Linked DNA regions of Notamacropus eugenii. The protein of the gene in region 1 interacts with the protein of each later gene in a pairwise test. Links are inferred from orthologs where the notes say so. Each region holds a gene or a part of one and is shown on either strand. Other genes may lie near its edges.

Evidence for each region. The genes of interacting proteins can lie anywhere in the genome.
Region 2: the proteins of PLEKHF2 (region 1) and MAX interact in binary tests that used the Homo sapiens proteins (3 or more experiments, as listed by UniProt). The two-hybrid records come from large-scale screens. The link is inferred for Notamacropus eugenii from reciprocal best matches to the Homo sapiens genes PLEKHF2 and MAX.
Region 3: the proteins of PLEKHF2 (region 1) and ACY3 interact in binary tests that used the Homo sapiens proteins (3 or more experiments, as listed by UniProt). The two-hybrid records come from large-scale screens. The link is inferred for Notamacropus eugenii from reciprocal best matches to the Homo sapiens genes PLEKHF2 and ACY3.

What each region holds. Positions count from the first base shown.
Region 1 is NC_092875.1:157,845,704-157,853,855, reverse strand, and holds the start of PLEKHF2 (pleckstrin homology domain-containing family F member 2), read left to right. Parts: upstream 1-4,564; 5' UTR 4,565-4,703; intron 4,704-8,152. UniProt on the Homo sapiens protein: May play a role in early endosome fusion upstream of RAB5, hence regulating receptor trafficking and fluid-phase transport. Enhances cellular sensitivity to TNF-induced apoptosis.
Region 2 is NC_092872.1:315,998,493-316,007,041, forward strand, and holds the start of MAX (protein max), read left to right. Parts: upstream 1-4,766; 5' UTR 4,767-5,176; coding exon 5,177-5,212; intron 5,213-5,962; coding exon 5,963-5,989; intron 5,990-8,549. UniProt on the Homo sapiens protein: Transcription regulator. Forms a sequence-specific DNA-binding protein complex with MYC or MAD which recognizes the core sequence 5'-CAC[GA]TG-3'. The MYC:MAX complex is a transcriptional activator, whereas the MAD:MAX complex is a repressor.
Region 3 is NC_092873.1:20,205,825-20,214,064, reverse strand, and holds the start of ACY3 (N-acyl-aromatic-L-amino acid amidohydrolase (carboxylate-forming)), read right to left. Parts: upstream 3,784-8,240; 5' UTR 3,687-3,783; intron 1-3,686. UniProt on the Homo sapiens protein: Plays an important role in deacetylating mercapturic acids in kidney proximal tubules. Also acts on N-acetyl-aromatic amino acids.

The sequences.
Region 1 (8,152 bases):
GTTTAAAGAGGGAATAACATGCACACTCAATTTGGTATGAAAATCTATCTTACACTACAGGAAAGTAGAGGAGAAGGGGATAAATGGGGTTGGGGGATGATAGATGGGAGGGCAAATGGGAGGAGGGAGTAATTAGAAGCAAATACTTTTGGGGAGGAACAAGGTTAAAAGAGAGAATAAATGGAAGGCAGGATAGGATCGAGGGAAATATAGTTAGACTTACACAACATGACGATTATGGAAGTCTTTTGCAAAGCTGTACATGTATAGCCTATATCGAATTGCCTGCCTTCACAGTGGGGATGGGTAGGGAAGTAGGAAGGGAGAAAAGTTGGAACTGAAAGTTTTAGGAATGAATGTTGAGAATTGTTTTTGCATGCAAATGGGAAATAAGAAATATAGATAATGGGATATTGAAATCTATCTTGCCCTACAAGACAAGACAGAAGATGAGGATAAGGGAAGGGAGAGGTGTGATAGAAGGGAGGGCAGATTGGGGAAGGGGTAATCAGAATGCACGGCATTTTGGGGTGAGGGAGGGGAGAGATGGGGAGACAATTTGGAACTCAAAATTTTGTGGAAAGGAATGTTGAAAACTAAAAATAATGAACATTAAAAAAAAGAAAAAGAAAAAAGAAAGAATTCACTGATCACCTCCTGAAAGAGATTCCAAAAGGAAAACTCCTAGGAATATTGTAGCCAAATTCCAGAGTTCCCAGGTCAAGGAGAAAATATTACCAGTAGTCAGAAATAAACAATTCAAGTATTGTGGAAATTCAATCTGGATAACATAGCAGCTTCTACAGTAAGTGATCAAAGGGCTTGGAATATGATGTTCCAGAGGTCAAAAAAAGCTAGGATTAAAACCAAGAAACATCTACCCAGAAAAACTGAGTGTAGTACTTCAGGGGAAAAAACAGAATTTCAATGAAATAGAGGAGTTCTTATTTGTATCCTTAGTGCTTTGTATAGTGTTTATGAAATGGAACTGAATCTCAAACTTTACATGTCCAGACCAAAACTCATTATTTTCCCCAAACCTACTCTTCCTAACTTCCTTAGTTCTATAAGTAGTTCCGTTATCCAGCTTGAAAACCTTGGAAGTACCTTTGGTTTTTCAGTTTCCCTCACACCTGATATCCCATTAGTGTGGCCCATGCTGGAGTTAGGAAGAACTGAGTTCAAATCTGACCTCAGACACTAACTTATATGATCCTGGGTAAATCACTAACTTCTGCTTATCTCTGATTCCTCATCTGCAAAATAGGGATAATAATAGCACTTACCTCCCAGGGTTGTTGTAAAGATCAAATGATAATTATAAAGTACATAGCACAGTGCCTGGCACACAGTAAATACCACAAACATTATCTCTTCTTTTGATTATTCTCATTATGCCTTGTTGATTCTACCTCCATAGCATCTTGGATGTATCTCCTCTCCACTTACACTTATGGTTCCATGGACTATTTTGATAGCCTCCTAACTAGTCTTGCTTCCAATCTCTCTCTGTTACTACCCCATTAGCCACAAAGCTGCCAAACTGATATTTCTAAACCATAAGTCTGATGGTTTCAATCCAATGCTGAAGAAACTCTTGTGGTTCCCTCTTGACTCTAGGATAAAATACAAAGCCCTTGACATTTCGACTCTACCCTACCTCTTACTTTACATTAATCCCTTCACATACTTTAGATTCAGATCAAACTGGCCTATTCATTACTTGAACACTTTGATTTATGCCAGGAACTCTACCCTTATTCTAAATCTTGGAGTCCTTAGTGGCTTTAAAGGCTCAGCCTGTGCCACCCCCTAGCCCACATAGCCAGATTCCTCTGAGTGCTACTGTCCTTTCCCCCACCAATTGCTTTGTTTTTAGTAAGTCAGTCAACAAACATTTCATGCTTATTATGTGCCTAGCACTGCGCTGAGTGATGGAAATGCAAATAAAACCAGAGTCCCTGCTTCTCAAGGAGTGTTCCAATAGAGGAAGACAACACATAAAAGGGAGCTGGAACGGGAGAAGAAGGAATCCCGGGATGCATGGTAGAAAATGTCCAGTGGATGTGAGTGCAGCCTGAAGAGGGGATGAAGACATTTTTGGCCTGAATCTCTTCTTTATATTGGTGGTTCTGAGAGGAACTGGCCAATCAGCAGATGAGGACATAGGGATGGAGGCTGCTTCTAGTGTGAAGAGGTTTCTATGGCCTGCAGTGGTGAGTCAGTGATGCAGTACATTCTGTATTTATTGCTGAGTACGTCTTGTTTCCTTCAAGAAAATATAAGCTTTTCAAGGCGAGGTTCTGTTCCATTTTTGTCTTTATATGCACAGTGTCTGGCTCGGAGTAAATGCTTAATAAATGTTATTGAATGAATTAATGAAGTTAATTGTATATATTTTAGTTTCTCCGGCTCAATAGTAAATTCCTTGAGGTATTTTTATGTATTTCCTTGGTATTTACCTATTACAGTGGAGCTCAGTCAAAGCTTGTTGAATGAATCAACTCAGTTCCTAAATGGTTTAACAATGAATAATACAAATGGCATTATATTTTTCGGGTGAGGAAAAGAGGTTAGTTGAGACCAGAAAACATTTTATAAGATTTACGACTGCTTTGAAGCAGCGTGGCTGTATCCTGGATGGAGATCATACTGGAGGAAGACCTGAATTCAAACACAACTCTGATTGATTCTTGAAGAGGACCAAAATGACACCATCATGATAAAGTCAAGTTTCTGTGGCTGATCAGACCAATACTAGCTGGGAACGCTCTACCACAGATATCCCGTGTGAATATTTGGGGTGGATACTCCAAATTTGCACATCCTATGTTTCCTTTGAGTTACTTCAATTCTGCTTTGCTCATGCAGCACAGCACCCTTTCTGGTGCGGGCATACCATGCTGAGCGCTCCTGTGCCAGTGTCTCCCATGTCCCACAATCAATTCCAGTTCACACTTGAGAGTGTCCTTGTATCACCAACGTTACAGAACAAGGGCTGATATGCATTGGTAGAAGTTTTTCCCCAAGGAGGTCCCTCCCTAATACAGGTGAAATGAAAGGTGGGGGCACAAGTCAATTATTTAAATATAACGCCTGGTTTTTCTCCAATCCCTTCATTTTACAGATAAGAAAAGTGAGGCCAAGACTAAGTGACTCACTTAAGGCCACAGAGGTAAGTAGCAGAGTTAGAATTTGAACCCAGGCCTTTCTCCCTCCATATCCAGACCACTTTCCACTTAACTTTGTCATTTCACTGAATCAGCAAATGGAAAAGGCCCTAAAAGGGCCCGCTCCCATCTCTGGATCGCCCATTAATGTGGAGAAAGGAGAAGAAATGACCAAGGCATGTGAGAACCTCTTTCTACAAGACCTTTGCAGGAGTCAATACCTTCCTTTCCTTCTGCAGGCCAATATTTTTCATTTGGGGGAACACCTAAGGGCAAGGAGGTGGCACAGTATGCAGGGCACCTGGCCTGGAGGCAGAAGACCTGAGTTCAGATTCAGCCAAAGACACTTACTAGCTGTGTGACCCCATCTCAGGTTCCCCATCTATAGAATGAGCTGTAGAAGGAAATGGCAAACCACTCCAGTATCTCTGCCAAGAAAGCCCCGTGGGCCACAACAGCCCAGGAACTGATTTGGCAGACAAACAGATGAGGACCCAGAGAAAGAAAGGCTAACCCACGTGCCCAAAGGCACCAGGTTCCATAAACAGCGAGCAGGTCCGACCTGTGACCAGGTAGGCATTTATGTGTGCCAGGCACCCCTCGGGCACAGCACGCCGCCCAGGGCGCAGGCTTTCCTTTCTTGCCTCCCCTTTTCAAAGAGAACGTATCCTGGTACTAACCATCCTTTCCGCAGCGCTTTAATACCTCATTGTATCCCCCTACCAGCCTTGGAAGGTAGGAGCTATTATGATCGGTCCCGGGTTTTACAAAGGAGGAAACTGAGGAAGGGTTGACGCGCGGCCCGCCGCGCCGCAGCCAGAAGGTGCCCGAGACAGGACTCGATCTCCAGGCTTCCGGGCGGCGGGCGCCGCGGCTCCATGAAGTGCCCACTGTGTGCCAGGGTCTGTGGCGCACTAGGCCTGGGCCCCACGCTCGGCCAGGGCACCTTCTACTATCGCTTTTACAGGCGGTACCAGGAGACCCACCGGCACACCACCTACGTTAGGAAGAAAGGCACAAGCCCCGCCCCAAATGGCGTCGGGACCCTCCCTTCCTCGCTCTCGTCCAACCCCACCCTTTGCAGGCCTAGGGGTGGGCGGGGACTCCGCGGCTCGCCCCGCCCCCCGCGCCTCGAGGGCGGGGTGGGTGTGCTCTGAAGTTGTCGCGCACGCGCCGCTGTGGAGGAGGCGGTTGAGGCCGTAGTTGACTGGAGAAGGAGGTGGCGGCGGCGGCGGCGGCGGGGGGCGGGGGAGTCTTGGGAGAGGCTGTGAAGAGTCACCTGTGAACGAAGGGCCGCCCGCTGCGCTCCTGGCTCGGCGGGTCCGGATCGGGGTCGGCTTCGAGCGGGGGCCCGGGCGGCGGCTGCGGCGCCTCCTCCTCCTCCGCGGAAGCCCCTCGCACCGTCGGAGAAGGGCTCGCGCTGCTCCCGGGGGAGGGCGGCCGGGCGGGGACGCCGCCAGCCGCCGGCCGCTCTCAGCCCCTGCTACCGGGAAGCTTTCGAGCCTCGCTGACTGCCGCCGGGCGTCCGGCCGGGTAGGTGCCTCCGGCGGCCGCGAAGAGAAACTTTCCGAGCTCTTCCTCCGGCGCGGGGAGCCGTGGTCCTCCCCCCTCCCGGGCGGCGGCGGCGGCGGTGTCGGCCGACGCCATGTTGGGGTCTGGGGAAAACGGGGCTCCCGGCTCCCTCGCCGCGCCTCGGGTCGGGCGCGCGGGAGCCCTGCCTGTCGTGGGGCCGGGGACCACGGGCCGAGGGGAGGGGGTCGGCCACCGAGGCTTCCGCCCTCCCTAACCCACCTCGGCGCCTCGGGTCCGGCCCCGGACCTCCGGCTCCCCGCGGTGGAGGCCCGAGCGCGCGCCCCGGGACCCGAGGCCGGGGAGCCGATCTCAGCCGGGTCGGAAAGAAGTGGCCCCGGCGTGGCCGGGGCGGGGGGGCGGACGCCTCCGTCCAGGAGTCGGCTCGTTGGCGCCCCGGGGTCTCTCCGAGGCCGATGGTGGTTCCCCGACTTGATTTCTTTGGAGGCTTTTAAAACTCAGGGTGTTGTTTGCCAGGCTCTGCCCTATTCCTGTTGTACGTTTGACTGTAGAGGAGCGTACAGATTGCGATTAACCAGGGACATTACCTGTATATTTTTGCTGCATATTATTGCAAATTACGTTAAAATGATAGTTGGGTTTTTTCTTATACAGTCGGAGATAGCCTAAAGACATTTAGACAAAAAAATCAGCATGTGTAGACCTGTCGTCCTCGAAATAAAGTGAAGCGAGTTAAACACCGACAAGTAATTTTTCACTAGTTCTGGGAGCTGCGTGTGTACCGCATTCCTAGTTCAGTATATTTGCCCCTGTTGTGGCCTTTGGTCTCTTTATAGGGAGTTGAGGTTATTCAGCATTACGAAACCCTGGGTTAATTTTTCCTTCGGAAGGCGCTGACAACGATGGGATAAAACTATATTAAACATTACCTTTGTATTAAACGATACTTACCATCAGTCACCAATTTGCTTAAAAATAAAAAAAAACCCAACTGAAATAGGATATTTAAATAGGGTAATAACACTTAAGGATTTAAGTATCCTTAGAAATAATCCCTAAGAAACAAGTGGTCATAGAGACATGGAAAGTAGGGGAAGAAGCCATCTGGATCTGGTCCAACTCCTCATTTTACAGATGAAGAAGCTGACCTGGGAAGGTTGCAGCTTGCCCAAAGTCTCAAAGACGGAAGGCAGAATTTTAATTTAGGTCCTCTAATTCCATAACCATTGCTCTTTCCATTGTTCTACACAACCTGATGTACTGAATGAAAATTTTTTTAAGGCATCATTTTGATCAGAAATGTGTTGCAGTTCACCAGAGTTTTGAGAATGAAATTGTTTGCTCTTTTTTCGTGTATGTGTTATCTTTAACTGAATCTTAGTATCTCACAGTAGTTATATTTAGAAGGTTGTGGAATGAAATGATTGACCTTTGAAACTCTTGTCACTCTGTGTGTTAAATACACTTAATAGTTTTTTCCCTTTTCACTCTGTCCAATTGCTTCAAGATTTGTGTCCACAGTAGTATGAAAATCAGCTACCAAGTATTAGAGCCCCTTCTTTAAATGCAGACCCTTTTCCTAAGATGCTCAGTTGAAAGACCAAAGGTAGGATGCCAGATCCTGGAGTGAAATGATTGAGAACTTTTAAAAAACCTAATTACATGAATTAGTATGTCAATAGGGCATAGCCACAATGGCATTTCTTAATCAAGTCCTGATAGTATTTGTGTCCCTCTGTCTTTTCCATGAAATGGATGAAATCAAAGCTAAAAGAGGGCCATCAGTGATGAATACCAGGAGTCTGAATGGTGATGTCCTTACTAAGTACAGCTCAGTTTTAAAGAGTTAAATACAAATATTCACACTAACTTGAAAAAAATTGGGCAATGACTGGGACAAGGCCTGTAATGCCATGCTTTCTAATGAATAAGATTGTTTTTGTATTACTGCTGTAAATCCATATTTTTTTGTATAGATAACAGGCTGAACTTTACTATTATTATTGTTGAGGACTAGAAGAGACCTTTGATTTCATTGATATCATGAACTCCTGTGTGAGAAAATGCCTTCTCTTAAAGCGGGTAGACACCTTCTCTGAAACATAAGAGTATAATAGAGTTGCCTAGATTCACAAAGTAAGTGTGTTAGAGACAGAATTTATATCCAGGTATTCTTGGCTTCAAGACTGACTATCTCTTCTTCTGTCTCTCTTTACCAGTATTGGAAATGAATAAATCAGACATACATACATAGATTTTTGACCATGTGACCCACTGTTGAAAAAACAAAACAACTGAGGACATCTCTGCTCTAGGACTTGATAGATTCTTCATCCTATAGAATGTGCTTCCATTTGTTAACCATATTTTACCTTTTCACAGCCTTACTGAAAACCCATCTTTCCTGATTGAAATCAATTCTCCCTAAACGTGTTTTAGTTTACTTATTAATCCTCATCTCCTTGAACATAGGAGATATATCTTGTCTGTATGAGGAATCCTTAATACTGAATACTATGAACTCAGTGAAATACCATTAGCTTTCTTCCAAAGTTGTTTTAAATGCATAGACATACTCAGTCTATTTGGAAACTTTCAGAAGACTAATTTGGAATTTCTTTGGATGACTTGGTGATTCAATATTAAATTGCAGTTACTTAAATATTTGTAGAAGTCTTGTAGGTATCAAGGAAGGTGTGGTTACTTAAACTCAACTCTACACCACTAACAAGGGAAATAGCGGATCTCCATAATGATTGTATAGACATCCCTCACTAAATTTGCCCTAGCCAACTTCATTTCATAATTCTATACTTAGGAAATAATCAACCTAACAGTGTTGCTATAACGGAGACATCAGATAATCAGATGATCAAGTCACTCTGTACCCTCTGGAGAGTAGCCTGTTTGGAGTTTTTAATAATAATAAGCCTAATCAGAAATGGTAGCTTTAAGACTTGGGGGAGGGGGGGTGAGAAGCTTATCAAATCTTGGAGGGGTATCACCCCTTGGGCTGTTGGAGTAGGGCTCCCATCCTAATTGTCAGGGACATCAGAAAGAGGCATGTGTGGCACAGCTCATTCTTACCGTTACTTAGTACCTAGAACAGTGCTTTAGTAAAAATGCTGGTTGAATTGAATGTATTGAATTTTTGAGTTAGTCATGTATTGAATGTTTTAGTTATGTATTAGAATGTATTGAATTTCTGAATTAGTCATATGAAAGATAGTAGTAGATGTTTCATTAAAGCAGTTGTAGAATGAGCTAGAAGGAATACAGTTTTACAAACTAAAGAGAAGAAATACTTTGAAAGGCATGTGAAGTTATAGTCTTCAACAATGCAAAGTAGCCACTGATAGATAGTAGTAGTGACAGTAATAGATTCTCACATTCTGTTCAGTGATAGAATCACCAGAAAGTTATGACTTAAATTGGACAGAATTCAAAGATAG
Region 2 (8,549 bases), on another chromosome or scaffold:
CCTTTGTGCTGTAACAACTATTTGACCCTAATGGAATACTATTGTGTGATAAGAAATGACAAAAGAAAAATTTGGGAAGACTTGGATAAACTGATAAAAGTGAAATGACCAAAACCAGAAGAACAATTTATATAGTGACTGTAAAATTGTAAAAAAAAAAAAAAAAAAAAAAAAAGTTTTAAAGACTTACAAACCTAACCCCTCATGACTCCCTAAGATTAATGATAAAGCATGCAATCCATAACAAAGGGCTGATGAAGGGGAGAGATGCAGAACGATATACACGTATGAGAACATTTTGACCAATGTGTATATTTGCTTTGCATAGAGAACTATGCTTGTTTGCCACGAGACAGGGTGTTGAGTTTTGTTTTTTTTTTTAATGGAGGACAGACAGGGTGTGGGGGGGAAGGCCTACTGATAATGATGCTCAAAAACAAGAAATGAAAAAAGGGTCTCACACATGGGAAAAAATATCATACATAGAGGGAGGTGTAGACTAGCAAAACAGCTTTAAAATTAACACACTGAATTTGTTATTTGCAATGGAGATTTATGGTTTTACACACAATTTTCTTCATTTATTTTTCTTTGCATATGGAAATGCTTATGTTAATTGGAGTATGGCAAGTATAGAATAACAAAAAAAATTTTAATTTAAAATTTTCATATACTTCAAATGAACTGGACAAAACAGAAGCCAGTTCCATATACAATCCTCTTTTCTGTTCTCTGTATATTGAAATATTTATGTTTATTGATGATTTATAAGTTCATAATAAATATTTTTCATTAAAAATGAAGGTGTTGGAGAAAAGACAATGTTGCATACCTCCTTCCTCAAAGCAGAGAGGAAGGTGACTATTAAATTAGGATATTTTATTTATTATCAGGCACGACTTTCTTACTGGATGTTTTTACCTGTTTTTCTTTATCAAAAAGGTAGGGTTCCATCTGGAGGAGAGGAAGGAAAGTGACTATCATGTAAAGATAAAAAGCATCAATTAAAAAAAATTAACAAACTTCCCAAAGAAGAACCTCCTTAATTATGGCAGAAAGGTGGAGGAACAATTGGGATAACACAAATGTTTCTGTTTAATTGGGTTGTTTGGGGGTTGTTTTGCAATGTTGGGTTTAATCTAGAGGGATGAGTAAAAAAAGATTGTTATAAAGTTATTAATAAAAGATTATAAAGGTATCAATAAAGCAGTTTAAATGAACTGATTTCACACCTTTTGTTGGTATTTTTGTCACAAAACAAATTATTTTTAACATAAGAGCCAAATAAGTAACTTTAAGGACTCCAACTGAGGTTGAGAATAAACTAGGTCTTGAAGCTTTCTCATGCTCTCCACACTGACCAAAAAATTCTCAGGCACGTATGCCAAAAAACAGTCTTCACAGAAAAGCATTAGCAGAGATCTGCACCACTATCAAGCACCCTGGTATAGTATCACTGTGTTAAGGAAATAGCCTCTTGGGCTTCTGGAGGATATATTACTCATCTACCACATGAATGTTAATTCCACATCAACCAGGTGAACCTTAAGTCATATAAGCAAGCTCTAACTGGGAGGAAACTGAGTACTTCAGGAGACAACATAATCTCTATATTCCCACCTTGGCCTTCTAGGAGAGGATAACTTGTCAGTGAGGTCTTTGAAACACCACAGGTTTAAAACAAACAAGGAGCCCTTGTCAATCATAAAACTAAATATGACATCAGTGATTTATCACTTGGGCATGTTAGAGTAGAAATGTCTAGTTCAAAAGGCAGATATAATTATAAAGTACAGATATTATCCTGATGAATAATGGTTTGCTGGTCCAAAAAAAAAAAAAAAAACCATAACGAAGCATAAGTACACAACAAAATATCTATTTAATCTGGGAGCCTAGTATGAACCGGCAGTATAGTGGAGCAGAGAGCAAGATTTGAAGTCAGAGAAGCTGTAGGCTCAAATTCTGCCTCTGACACTTACTAGTTGTGAGACTTCAGATAAGTCACTTTACCTAAGATTTAGTTTCCTCCTCTGTAAATTGGAGGAAATTATTTGCATTATTTACTTCTGTGACTAAGGATCAAATGAAATGAGGTAGGAGATGCATTCTTCATACTTTCAAGTGTTATTTAAATATTACTTATCAATTTGATAGATAACACTCACCATTCACAGTCTACTTACTTCAAAATTTCAGGGATTTGTGATTTCAGCCATCTCACTATTTCTCCTACTTTTGAAGATCAAATTCCTCTATAACTTAGGTGATTTAGCAGGTTCCTGTGGCCAAAAAAATCAATACTAGGTCAACCATTTGGTTGCAAGCTTCTCCAAAGCTCCAAGCTAGTCTGCTTTTTATACAGTAAGTATATCATGTCTTTAATCAATCCTGTAGCTGAAACATTTCCAACTTGACAAGACCTTCTAGATCTTGTACTAGGTTGGCATAACTTTGAGAATCCAGTGCCACTTCCACACCAGAATGAAACACACAAGTGGGGCTTTGATGGAGGTTCATGTTACACCAGATGATAAAGCCAGGTTAGTCTGAACTGATATTCCTATTCACTCTTTCCATAAATGTTGAAGGATTTACTTGTTTTTACAGGGGAGGGTCTGGACCTGTCATTTCATTACAGAAGGTTCTAACACTACTAGTGTTAAAAAAAAAAAAAAACCTTAAAAATATATCTAGTTCTGATTAATTAGGTTGCCATCCCTGAAATAATTTTATGATCTCATGCTTTGGGATCTTTGCTCTTCTAGCCTTTCATTTAATGATGAGATCAAATACCGTTGAACAGTTTGGAGAAAGGTGAGATTTAGACACTTTAAAAAAACTGAGAAGTCAGTTATAAAATGGAGAAAACAATCACTTGGGAGAAAGTGCTGAGTCAAGTTGCTGTCTCCATGGATAGTGGTAGATCAATCATATATTTTAAAGCATTTAATGTATTTGGGAAGCTACTAGGAGGCTTAGTGTATGGCTGTGTGACTCTGGCTTAGACATAAACGTTCCTGGTCATATTTAATCATAAGAGTGTAAATGTTAGCTATTATTATTAAAATAGCTCCATTTGGGGGAAAGTTTGGTAGAACCATGTGAGCCTGAAGGACTGTTTAGCTTTTGTATATGTTAATATTTAATAAGGTGACACAGTGGATAGAGTGCCACGCCTGGAGTCAGGAAGACATCTTCCTGAGTTCAAATTTGGCCACAGACACTTAGCTTATTAGCTGTGTGACCCTGGGCAAGTCACTTAACCCTGATTGCCTCAGCTCCTCATCTGTAAAATGAGCTAGGGAAGGAAATGGCTAATCAATCCAGTATCTTTGTCAAGAAAACCCCAAATGATGTCACGAAGTCAGATATGACTGAAAAACGAATGAATATGCACAAGATTTAATAAAGTATTTGTTAAATTAAATGTATCAAACACATTGCCATGTCACAGCAGCAAAGGCACTGAATTTGGAATCACAGATTCTGGATTCAGATGAATCCTCTGGAATGAAAAGATGGCAGATCACGGTACTATATATATTCAGAGGTGGAAGAGACTTCAGATGTTACTTAGTTCAATCCCTCCATTTTTCATTTAAGGAATCATACAGGTAAGGTTTGAAAGTAATTTTCAAAACCACATCATTGGACTCCATAGCTCGACTCCTGCCACTACACCATGGTCCTTCAAGCTACTTTCTCACTTTACAAATAATTTTATAAGTAAAATGTATTAATTTAGTAATTTAATTTTTAAAATTTAAATTATTTAAATTTAAATTATTATTTAACCCTATTCAGGGTTCCAATTCTGACCCCTGAAAGACACCTATTAGGTTCTAGGGGCTGCTGGGGATGCTAAGACAAAAATTAAACAGTCCTTCCCTGAACTCAAGGAGTTTACACACTACTGGAGAGATACAACAGGTACTTAAGCAATATAAAGCGTGTATAAAATACTGGGTTGGGGGAGAGAGGGAGTTCAAGAAAGGCCTTGGCATCAGGGTCTTTCCAAATGACCCAGTATCAGTTTCCACTTCTCACCTTGGGCCAAGCTTTATTTGCCGCTTTCCTCCCTTTAGGTGTCCTAAAAATTAAAAGGTGGTCATTTCCTTTCAGTGTATTTTAAAACTGGACGGATTTCACGGAGACTGTAACATTCTGGGACCTCCTGGGACACACCGGAAACAGTAAAGACGCACACAGCCTCAGGCTCCCAGGACCAGCGATTCTGGGTCTGAGACAGAAGGCTCCCACTTCCGGGCTGCAGTTCTCACCTACAATGGTTAACGCCTCTGCCCAGGCTCTAAATCCTAGGGACAAACAGGCTATGGCTAGCCGGGTTCTCCCTTCCGTAGAGTTCCTCCCTGCAGCCCCAACCCAGGGTGACACCTAGATGACTGCAACACGTGGCCGGTGAGTCAGGGGAGAAGGCCAATTATAAAACCACAGAGATGTGAGATAATTAGGACGCCCTTGCGCCGCGCTGCGTGCGTGAGAGGTTTCCCCACCCTCTCCCGCAGGCCTACTGCCCAGCAAAGCGTGCGTGCCCAGACACCCCACTCCACTCCCGGAGCTCCAGCAGCCTCCACGTGTCCTCTCCTTACCCAGCAGCCTCTACGGCTGCCCTGGGAGAAAAACCTCCTGACAACTCGCTCCACACCCCCACCACGCCGAGTACTACAATTCCCAGAAGGCTTCACACTCCCCTTTCTCCCTCCCTCCTCCGCGGGACACGCAGGCGCTCTTGTTCTCATCAACAAGCCGGAGAGGCTCTGAGTGTTGATCGTGCCTAACGGGATTTGTAGTTCTTCCTGGACCTTCGGTCCTTGGGCGGCTGAAGAGGGGTGGACTCCAAGTCTCAGCGGCCCTTGCGCGGCGGAGACCGGTCACGTGGGCGGGGTGGGCCGGGCGTGCGTGCCGCCGTTGATCCGGTGCTGCAGTGAGGAGGTGGTTCTAGCCTTGTTGTGTGTGAGTGTGTGTGTGTATGTGTGTGTGTGTGAATGTGTGTGTGAATGTGTGTGTGAGTGAGGGAGTGAGTGAGGGAGTGAGTGAGCGAGCGAGCCAGCGTGTACGGCCCGGCTTGTTGTTGTCCCTGACTTCCCCCTCCCCTCCACCCCTCCCCCTTTCCCAGCCGCCGCTGCAGTGGCCGCTCCCTGGGCCGTAGGAAATGAGCGATAACGATGACATCGAGGTGGAGAGCGACGTGAGTCCCGGGGTTTCTTCCTTCCCGTGTGTGTCTGTTTGGGGGTCGGGGCCAGAGGCCAGAGACGGAACCGGACGGGGGTGCGGCGTGCAGAGGCCGGGCCGCTTCCTCCTCGCCCTTCCCCTCCGTAGACGGGTCCGCCGTCGCCGTCTCGGTCCGGGCACTTTCCTCACTCGCCCGGCCACCACGGCCTCTGGAGTCCGGATGGGGAGGAGTGGCCTTGGGGAATCCTCCCTTCCCCCCAACTCTTCCCTCATCTCACCCCCGCGGGGGGGGCAGCCTCACCAGGGCCAGTCTACCCCCCTCCCTGATCCCCCCGCCCGGTGCCGGGATGGGGGTACACTCCGCAGCCCATTGTCCAGATCCAGGGAACGGGGACTGTGCTCAGGCCCCTTCCTCCGACCCCCCCCCACCCGTTCAAGATCCCTCTTCCTTTATCTATTGGGGGAGGGGGGGAGTTAGGGTGCCCAGAAGGCCCTTGGCATGGGCTGACGAACGGGGGCATTCAGGACCCCTTCCCCCCAGCGCATCCCCTTTGGCTGGGCTGGATCCCGGAAGAAAGGGCGGCGCACAAGACACACGCCCCCCACCCCCAGCCCAGCACGGGATCCCCGGCTGGGGGGAAGGGAGGAGGGTCGGGCTCACTCCCCATCCCCTGCTTCCTTCACCGCCGGCATTTTCTTTCTTATTTTTGAATGTGAAGCGTAAAAATAACTTCTATATTTTCTATTTTTCTCTCTCTTATTCCAGGAAGAGCAACCGAGGTTTCAATCTGCGGTACGTCTCCTTCTCTCCATTTCATTTTCATTTCCGTTCAGTTCTAATCCTTTTCGGGGTCAGAGAGAGTTCTGTTACTTTCAATGTTATGATGGTAAACTGCACTGTGAAATGCTGGAGGTGAGGTGGGGACCTACGTCGGGGGTTCTAGATGGGGAGAAGGGTTGCAAACTTCATCATTCTAGATTGTCAGGTGTTAGGTTCCATTGAGGCTGAGTGAGTGGGAGGAGCTTTGTCCATAGGAAAGGATCTCATTCTTGAGGGATCAAATCCAAGGGATCTGTAGAACCACTGTTTGGATTCAGGAAATGGAAGAAGCTCTGAATTCAGTTGTTGTCAGTATTTGAAGGCAAAGCAGCCTAGAGAATATTTGGAGACAAATAGCTTTTAAACCATTGTTACTTTGGAGGCACATGTGATTATCAGAAATGAAGAGCCATATGAATACTGTATTCTTTAAAGGGCTTAGCAGTATTACATCAGAATGTAATGCAGAAATTGAAGCCACAAGTTGCACATACCGGAACAGTAGCAGAATGTCACTGCTCTAGACCCATGGGTTGAAGTAGGTTTTGAAACTAAAGAGGAAAAGCTTTGTAGTTGGTGTGGAAGAAAGGCATGCCAAGACAGAAGAAAATGTGTTAGATCATTTCTTTGGTTTTCTGTATTAATGTATTTGATACTTGCTTCCGTGGATGTAGATATGTAGTTTAAATTGATAGAAACCTGGAAGTGTTCAGTGAATTTGAAGGGGGTGGGGAGAAGAGACTTTTTGTGGGGCACAAGAGAAAAGGAGATTAGAGTGGGAAAGGGAAATGAAGCACAACAGAGTCCCTGATAGTTTGCATTTGGAAGCAGTAAGGAATAATAATTATTTTAAAAAGAGAAACTTGCTGAGTTAAGACTTGATTTAACAGAACAAACCGGGATTCAGAATCTTTTCCAGAGATCTGGGGCTTCAGAAGAATTTAAACAATATTAAGAGAAATCTCAGGATGTAATTATTTTATTAGACCTAAAAACTGTTTCTGATTGTCATTTGTTACAACAAAAATTCATTTTAGTGGACTGAAAGATTCCTTATTTTGGATTTTTTGTTGTAAATCTTCTTAACAGTATATCCACTTTAACATTGTACTTTTTTAAGCAAAATTTTAAAAAATATTTCACTTTTCTCCTGAATTCCCTTGATGCGATTTGAAAATGGCCCCCAAATGAAGGATGGTAAGAAGGGCAAAAGAGCCCTTGAAGAACGTCTTTTCCAGACTCTTACTTAGAACAACTAGTCATGGGCTTTCAGCAAAAAAACAGTTTTCTTTGTTGAGAGAAAGTTGCTTTTTCAAGCCCTTTTTCATTTTAAAATCATTGATGTGTTGATTTTAAATGGACATGAAATGATTAAAATGTACTTCTCTGCACCTTAACATCTAATCTTTGGTTAAGTGTTAAGATATCTAGAGTTTATCCCTTTGATTTTTTTTTTTTTTTGGCTTCTTTTTAATTTGGCTTGCAGAGACTTTCAGACATCTTGCACAAGGTAATCACAACAGTATTACAAGCATGTTTTTCAGTATCACAAACAACTATTAGGACCTGGTAGAGGAATAAGAATTCCCCTTCCTATCATGTGTTCCAAAACTCAAGGCCTGGGCATTTTTTGTTAAGCTGAAAGAAATTCCCATTATAAAGCAACCATTTTTAGGCCTTGACTTTTGAAGGAAAATCAAGCTGGAATAACAGGAAAAAATTTGATCATATTGTGAGAGTTTTAAAAGTTACTTAGAGAATATTAAGTTTTACAGGTGTGAAAATCCTGTTTCATGAGACCTTAGAAACTGACATGAAGTAGGAAATAAAACTAACTGTAAGAGAAAGTGAAACTGAATTTAATAATTCTCTGGGAGCCATGCGAAAGATAAAGACGTTGATTGGTAGGGAAAAAAAATAAGCTTGACTAGAGAAAACAGTCTGAGTAACCCAGAAGAATGACTTGAAGAGTATTTCATCAGTATTTCCCATAACAAAAAATTGCCATGTTGCAAAAATCCCAAGTGATGTGATTTTCCTTTTACTTTAATTCCACGAATTTTTAAAAAATAATGGAAGCAAGATAAATTCCTTTCACATAATATTTTTATGGTTTTTTTTCTATTTTGGTAGAGTTCCACAGGAAGGGGTTTAAGTTTTGAATACAAGTATGTGAGACTGAGACTATTTCTAAGAGATTGTCCTTCATGCTAGCTCAGATTACCGCAATTGCAGCATATTTTCTAGAAGTTTTAAAACGGGTTTGTGCAATTCAGTTTCTGATGTTGAAGTGTATGAGTCTCTCCAAGATATTTACTTCTCAGAATTGTAATATATTCAGAAAGGAAGGAGAGCAGATCTGTGTTTCAGATTTGAACTTGAATAGCAAAGTACTCTATTTTAGTAGCAGAAATGAGTTTTATCATATGCTGCCTCTTTTAAAGTGGTTAACCACAGTGCTGAAATTCCAACATTATTGGTTCCTGAGTAGACCTTTATTACTATTAATAAAGTAGATATGCCTTGCTGTTAT
Region 3 (8,240 bases), on another chromosome or scaffold:
CAAATAGCCAAGGGATATAAACAGGCAATTTTTAAAAGAAGAAACAGATGCTATCAGCAACCATATGAAAACACATGACAAATCACTAATAATTAGAGAAACACAAACTAGAACAACTCTAAATTTCCATCTTATACCCATAAGATACCTCAAGACAACAAAAGACAAAAATGACAATTGCTGGAGGGAATGTGGGAGGACAGGCACATTAATACACTATGGTATGGAGATAAATCATTCCAGTCATTCTGCAAAGTGATTTGGAACTAGCATTAAAAAGCTGTGAGATTATCCTGATCTTTTGATACTACTGCTAAGCTGTAGTACAAAGAAAGGAGGAAGGGATCCACACGTACAAAAATATTTACAGCTGCCCATCACTTGGGAAATGGCTGAACAAGTTGTGATCCAAGACTGTGGTAGAATACTAATGAGATTATGTATGTGATGGATTCAGAGAAACCAGAGAAAACTTGTCTAAACTGGTACAGGGACTGTAGTAATGTAAACAGTAATAACAGCAGTATGAAACATACCTAGAGTGCCTAAGATAGTGTCATGTGGAGGAACCCCACTTCGCTCAGGCCAGCTAAAAACCCTGAAGGGGGAAGTAATTGATCTGGCTTTGAGAGAGCAGGGCCAAAATCATCCTAAAGAAGAGCACTTTGAAAATCTTTTCCTTTTTAATTTAATCTTTAATTTTTTTAAGTGGAATTCACTGAATTTTTTTATGTTTTGAGTTCTAAATTCAATCCCTCCCCCTCCTCTCCCTGCTCTGTGCGATGATTAGCAATTTGATATAAATTACACCTGAGAAAGCATGTTAAACACTAGTCATTTTGGGGAAGAAAAATTCAAACAAAAAAAGAGAAAGAAAATGAAAAATAATATGCTTCAGTCTGTATTCAGACACCAACTGTTCCTTCTCTGGAGGTGGATAGCATTCTTTATCATGAGTTCATTGGGATTGTCTTGGATTATTGAGAATAGTGAAGTCATTCGCAGTTGTTCATTGGACAATATTTCTATTCCAGTGTTCTCCTGGTTCTGCGCACTTCATATTTCATGTAGGTCTTTCCTGAAATCGTCTTATTCATCATTTCTTCCATCACAACAAAATACCACAACTTGTTCATCCCCTCAATTTCCAATTCTTCATCATCACAAAAAGAGCTGCTATAAATATTTTTTGTACAAATAGGTTCTTTTCCATTCTTTTTTATGTCTTTGGGATGCAGACCTAATAGTGGTGGCTCAAAGGTTATATACAGTTTTCTTTGGGCATAGTTTCAAATTATTTTCCAGAATGGTTGGATCAGTTCACAACTTCACCAACAATTCATTAATGTTTCAGTTTCATGTCTCCTCCAACATTTGTCATTCTCCTTTTCTGTCACATTAACCAATCTGATAGGTATTGGTTGGTAACTCAGACTTTTTTATATGACTGTGGATAGCTTTGGTTTCTTTATCTGAAAAGTTTCTGTTCATTTTTTTGATCATTTGACCATTTATCAATTGAGGAATGACTTGTATTTTTATAAATTAGACTCAGCTCAAGAAATGAGGCCTTTATCAGAGATACTTGTAAAAGATTTTCCCCAGTTTTCTTCTTTCCTTTTAATTTTGGTTGCACTGTTTTTGTTTGTGTAGGGTCAGGGAGATGGGGCACAGATAGATGGTGGTGGGGAGAAGCATGTTGAAAAACGGGATAGAAGGACCTGTGGATAGAGGGACAAAGATCAGAGGATGGAAGGATAGAAGAATGAATAGACAGCAGCAGGAGGAAGAGGACAAAAGAAGGGAGGGGGAATGGAAAGATAAGATAGAGGATTAGCCAGTGGGGGAGTTATGGAGAGGGCACAGAAGGATGGGGAGTGGAAGGAAAAGGAGGTGGAGGAATGGGGATTGAGGGAAGAAGGACCAGGGGGCTGGGAGAATATAGGCCAGAGAAGGTCTGGCTCAGCATTGACCTGGACTCAGTGTGTCCAGCACTGGCTGCTCCCTCCCTGGCTGAGATTCCTTCTCTCTAGGATCCTTGTTCTTGAAGCTTCAAGTTTGAGAAGGGGACTTAAAGGTGGCTGTGTGTCTAGCAACTGCCCAAAGTTCACTCTGTTGTAAATACTAAAAAGTTAGGTTTCCATAAAATGTCGCAGTTTCAAGGTGGTGTAAAACAGCCAGCACCCACTGCCTTTCAGGAGAAGCAGTTAGCAAACTGCAGAGTTCTTGATCAAGGGGGCCAGACTTGAAACGAGCTTCACCAGCTGGAGTCAGTGACTGGGGGAAAGTTTTTCTTCACTGCACTTGCTTAATGAGTTCATCGCATATTAATCTGACACTTGCTGCATAGGATAAGAGTCTCTTTATCGGTACACTGGGGAGGGCATCATGACAAGGAGCTGCATGAAGTGGGAATGTAACCAGAAGGATCCCGACCAATCCTGTTCTGGAAGGGAGGGATATCTAACAGTTAAAGCTCTAAAGCTTGCTCTGGTTTCTGTATCAGTTCACTGCTCTCATGGTAGGGAATGCGCCCACTTCTTGCAAGGATCGCAATAAAAGACTCCACTTTTACTTCAAATTTTAGTTTTGTTATCAGGTCCCCAGATGTGAGCCTTACTCTAGATGGGGAGGGGCCTACTGGATGACAACTGGATCTTGACAAAGGCTGGGGAGACTTTGGCCCCAAGATCTGTTCTTCCTTCATTACTCAGTGACTAGGATCTGTCTCCTGCCAAGCTTGGATGGCTTCCACACTGCCTGAGCTGGATAGAAGTGAGCAGGTCAATGGAGAGTTGAGTTAAAGGGCAAGAAATGAGGACAGAGCAGAGCTTTTCTATTTCCCTGGGACCAGAACGTCTTTTCTAATCCCCCCCAAGAGAAGAGAAAATGTACCTGCTGTGGGAGGGGAAGCGGGGATTGGGCTGACTGCAAGTTTTTATATCCAACAAGAGAAAAGAAACAAAAAACCATCAAAGGGATAAAGGGAACAGTCCCTGATTGTTAAAAGAAAAGCACTTTGTGAGTCCCAAGGCCCTTAACCTTTTCAGTGCCCTCTCCAGCTAAGACTGAGCTGCAGAGAAAGTGCTCAGAAATATGGGGGGAGATGTTTCTTCCCTGAGAGAGGAAAAGGAGAAGGAGGAAGAAGAGATGGGGGAGAGGAGGAGGAAGAAGAGGAGAAGAGAAGGAAAAAGAGAAGCAGCAGAGGAGGGAGGGGGAGGAGAAGGAGGAGTTAACTGGATTTTCTAGGTAACTGCAGTTTCCCTGCAAGCCCTTTTTTAAAAAAAAAAAGCTTGATTCCTCCCTTCTGTTCTCCTGTTGAGGTGTAGGGTTGCTGAGAACCCTAAAATTCAATGACCAAAAGCCTTAAAAGAATTCAACTCAAGCCTCCTTTCTTTCAGAGGCAAGGTTTATTAAAACACTAGTTGAGGTGGTATATCGCCAAGGCAATATTCATAGTATGTGAATGGTATGTTGGCATAATTCTCATTTGCAAAGTATAACAGATTCTCCATATGGAAGCCAGAAGAAAAACATTTATTCAGACACCAGAAAGCCAAATCCCCAAACCAGAAAGCAAAATCAGTCATAGTAGCCAAGAAGTCAATACACATTGTCATAGCAGGGAGCAGTTATTGCCAAGTCTCCCTCCCTCCCAGCCTTCCCACAAACAAACGAACACTCACCAGCCTAGCTGTCTGCTTACTTTTGTCCTTCCCAGCTCTGACTAGCCTGATCAGCTTCCTCCCAGCTCTGCTCCACCTTTCCTATTCCACCCATTCAACAAGCTCCTCCCACCACATGTGATTTAGGCTTCCATGTGATTTAAGCAGGTCACATGGACCTATTAATGAATGAGAAAGATTTTCCCATTTAAATTACCATTACATTCGACCCCAAGAGCTTTTCTATTATGTAATATGTATTCATTACATAGGTTGGTGGGGCAACTGGTACGAACAGAATTGTAACAGGGATAACAGAAAATGAACATATAAAACAATAACTTAGGCAACTGATGCCAACAGAACCTTACAACAGTATAACAGGGATCACACAAAATAAGCACATAAAACAACATCTTAGGGTGGAACTTGAGCACAAGCACCTCATCATTCCCCCCTTGAATGAATGGGACCCAAAATCTTGGGATAAGGGGTTAAGGTCTCTTCTTCCATAGCTATTTTCTGCTAAGATTGGACGTAGAGCTTTCCCTGCCCCAAGAGGTCCCATTCAAGAGGTCAGTTCTTTAGCTGGCATCCAGAGCTTGGTCGATGCCAGGTCCAGGGGTGACACATCACAGTCATGGATAAGGGACAACATTTGGCTTAAGCAATCAGACATCGCAGGTGGGGGGTACTAAGCCTGCAGAAAACGAATCTAGCAAACAAATTTAATAGACAAAAAGCCAAAAAGAAACAAGGGGACAATAACCAAAAGCAGGGTAGATATAGGGTCAGTTGCACTTCTAGAGTCCATGAATCCACTATCATAGCCCTCATTCACAGTAGAATATGAGTCAAGGGTTCAATTTGATAATCATCTTCTCTTGAATAAACAATTATCTTTTTTATATGCTACATTTTCTGCAGCCTTTGGAACATTGTCTAGCTTCTGTTTTACCCATACTTTAGCTCCCAATTTTATTCTATCAGTAGAACCCAATCCTTCAGTTCCTCTGCTAGTTATTTTGGAGGGTGTATCAGTTTCCACAAGAGGTATTATTTCACAAAGAATAATAATCATTTGTACTATTCTATCATTTTTACAAGACCGTATGGATTCTTCACCTAAATTTTGGAATGTCACAATAATTTCTCCTTGATAAACTGGTTGGTTGTTGTTGTCCTTTGTTTTCGAAGACAACCAAAATGACATCACTGTGATAAAGTGAAATTTCAGTGGGTCTGACTGTGGCTGATCAGACCAATATGAATTCGGAATGCTCTACCACATTAGTCCTTGTAAATATCTGGGGTGGATATCCCAAATTTGCGCATCCTGAGTTTACTTTGTGCTGTCTCAATTCTGCTTTGCTCAAAGAGCACAGCACCTTTTCTGATGCGGGCATGCCATGCTGAGCAATCCTGTGCCAGTGTCTTCCATGTTGCACAGTCAAATTCAAAGTTCTTGAGAGAGAGACCTTGAGAGTGTCCTTGTATCATTTCTTCTGGCCATCATGTGATCACCTGCCCCATGTAAGTTCCCCATAAAATAATCTTTTTGGCAAGCATACATTTTGCATTCAAACAATATGGCTAGCTCATTGGAGTTGCGTTCTCTGAAGCATAGTTTGAATGCTTGGCAGTTCAGCTCGAGCAAGGACCTCAGTGTCTGATACCTTATCCTGCCAGGTGATCCTCAGAATCTTCCTTGATAAATTAGAATCTATCACTCCCCCCAATACATGAACTGCTAATTCAGATTTAGGTAATATCCATCCAAAATGATTTTGGGGGATTCTCATACATATTCCAGTAGATATTTTTATTATTTCTATCCAATCTAAAGTCCTCTAAACAATATAAACCACACACTGCCAAACCAGGTGTCCCTGGATACAGTGCTGGGACATCTGGCCTCACATTTCAATACTCAATATTTGGGATCTTATGTGTTTGTTGTTTTCTAATTTGAAGATTTGGACTCCTCATTCAGGCTAGAGGTATACTTCCTCCTAATGGTCTATTTTTCAAATTATGCAAAGCAGTGAACAAATTATCTTTCCAATGTTGAGAAGAATAATTAGAACTTAACTTACTTAACTGTTCTTTCTATAATCTGTTCATTCTTTCAATTAACCCAGATGCTTACGGATAATATAGAATATGATATATCCATTCTATTTTATTTAATACATAACATCTCTTCATTTCATTACCTTTGAAATGTGACCCATTGTCACTTTGGATCTGCATTGGGGTTCCGTAATACAGACTTATGATATCTAAAGCTTTACAGATGTTTTTCTGGGTTGGATTCTTATAGAGACAAGTCACTAGTGCACGTGAATAGGTGTCAACACAAGTACATATAAATTTGCATCCTTTATCTTGGGGTAGGGCTCCAATATAATCTATTTGCTAAATTTGGGCTGGTACTTTTTCCCTTGCTTTCTCTCCAGTTACTACCTGAGAAGCAGTTTGTTCCTTTCCAAATTTTATGTATATATATATATATATATATATATATATATATATATATATATATATATATATATATATATATATGTGTGTGTGTGTGTGTGTGTATGTGTGTGTGTGTGTATGTATGTATATATGTATATATGTGTATGTATGGATATATGCATATACATACATAGATACATTAATACACATTCCTCTGCTACTTGTTTCAACAATGAATGAGAGATACTAATACCTCAGTCTTGTGCCCACTGGTATGTGACCTGGACCCTTAAATGGCTGACTGTTTGATGGACTCATTTTGCTAGTACCTGTTGGGGGTGTAAGCTCAGTTCCATGTGGACAGTCTCGGGCAGGTAAAGGTGAGGACTTCTAAACCTTAGAGTTCTCATGAGGCCCTCCAGGGAACAGCTGGGAATTGAGGTGTGAGACCCGGGCTATCTCATGCATTTCCGCCTCTTCCCCATGGGAAACTTGCTGGGGAGAGCATCCCCGCCCCTGAGATTAACCCATGGTTTGAGCGCACCTATTGTTGTCTAAGGGCTGAGAACAGGCATGGTATTCAGGTGCAAACTATGCGGAGGGAGAGCTTAAGTAGGGTCAGGAAAGCCTGAAGGCGCTCTTAGTGCTGAGGGGCCCTTAGAGGACAGAAGGCCCCTCTTCCCTCTTCCCTCTCCCCTCTCCCACTTCCACTTCCATTCTCTTCTCTTACTGTAAGATCTTTGCCTCCTTGGGAAGAGGATTGCTCTCTCCTGAGGAAGAATTCCCCCTGCACATGTAACCAAGACCCTGAATAAAGCCTAACCCTTGTTTGACTCTGGAAAGTCTCTTCTCTCATACGTTTATCCAGTTTGGCCAGCCGAAGACCTGCGACAGGTAAGGAAAGACTTGGGTAGCCCTTAGGCCTCTAGGCCTGACAAGTACCGATCAGAGTAGATACAATATGTTGAGTGGCAATCTTTGCTAGTCCATCAACGTGTGCATTGTAGTCATGTTCTGGTGTGGTGAGGGCCATGTAAACCTCTACATGAAAAACTGACAATCACCTACCCAGCAAAACTGAGTATAATACTTCAGGGGAAAAATTGGTCTTTCAATGAAATAGAGGATTTTCAAGTATTCTTGATGAAAAGACCAGAGCTGAAAAGAAAATTTGACTTTCAAACACAAGAATGAAGAGAACCATGAAAAGGTGAACAGCAAAGAGAAGTCATAAGGGACTTACTAAAGTTGAACTGTTTACATTCCTACATGGAAAGACAATATTTCTAACTCTTGAAACATTTCAGTATCTGGGTACTGGGTGGGATTACACACACACACATGCACACACGCACACATACATAGAGACAGAGTGCACAGAGTGAATTGAAGAGGATGGGATCATATCTTAAAAAAAAAAATGAAATCAAGCAGTGAGAGAGAAATATATTGGGAGGAGAAAGGGAGAAATTGAATGGGGCAAATTATCTCTCATAAAAGAGGCAAGCAAAAGACTCATTAGTGGAGGGATAAAGAGGGGAGGTGAGAGAAAAACATGAAGTCTACTCTCATCACATTCCACTAAAGGAAAGAATAAAATGCACACTCATTTTGGTAGGAAAACCTATCTCACAATACAGGAAAGTGGGGGATAAGGGGACAAGCAGGGTGGGGGGGATGATAGAAGGGAGGGCATGGGGAGGAGAGTGCAATTCGAGGTCGACACTCATGGGGAGGGATAGGATCAAAAGAGAATAGAAGTAATGGGGGACAGGATAGGATGGAGGGAAATATAGTTAGCCCTATACAACACAACTATTACGGAAGTCATTTGCAAAACTACACAGATTTGGCCTATATTGAATTGCTTGCCTTCCAAAGGGAAGGGGTGGAGAGGGAGGGAGGTAAAGAAGTTGGAACTCAAAGTGTTAGGATCAACTGTTGAGTAATGTTCTTGCCACTAGGAAATAAGAAATACAGGTAAAGGGGTATAGAAAGCTATCTGGCCCTACAGGACAAAAGAGAAGATGGAGACAAGAGCAGAGAGGGATGATAGAAGAGAGAGCAGATTGGTCATAGGGGCAATTAGAATGCTTGGTGTTTGGGGGGAGG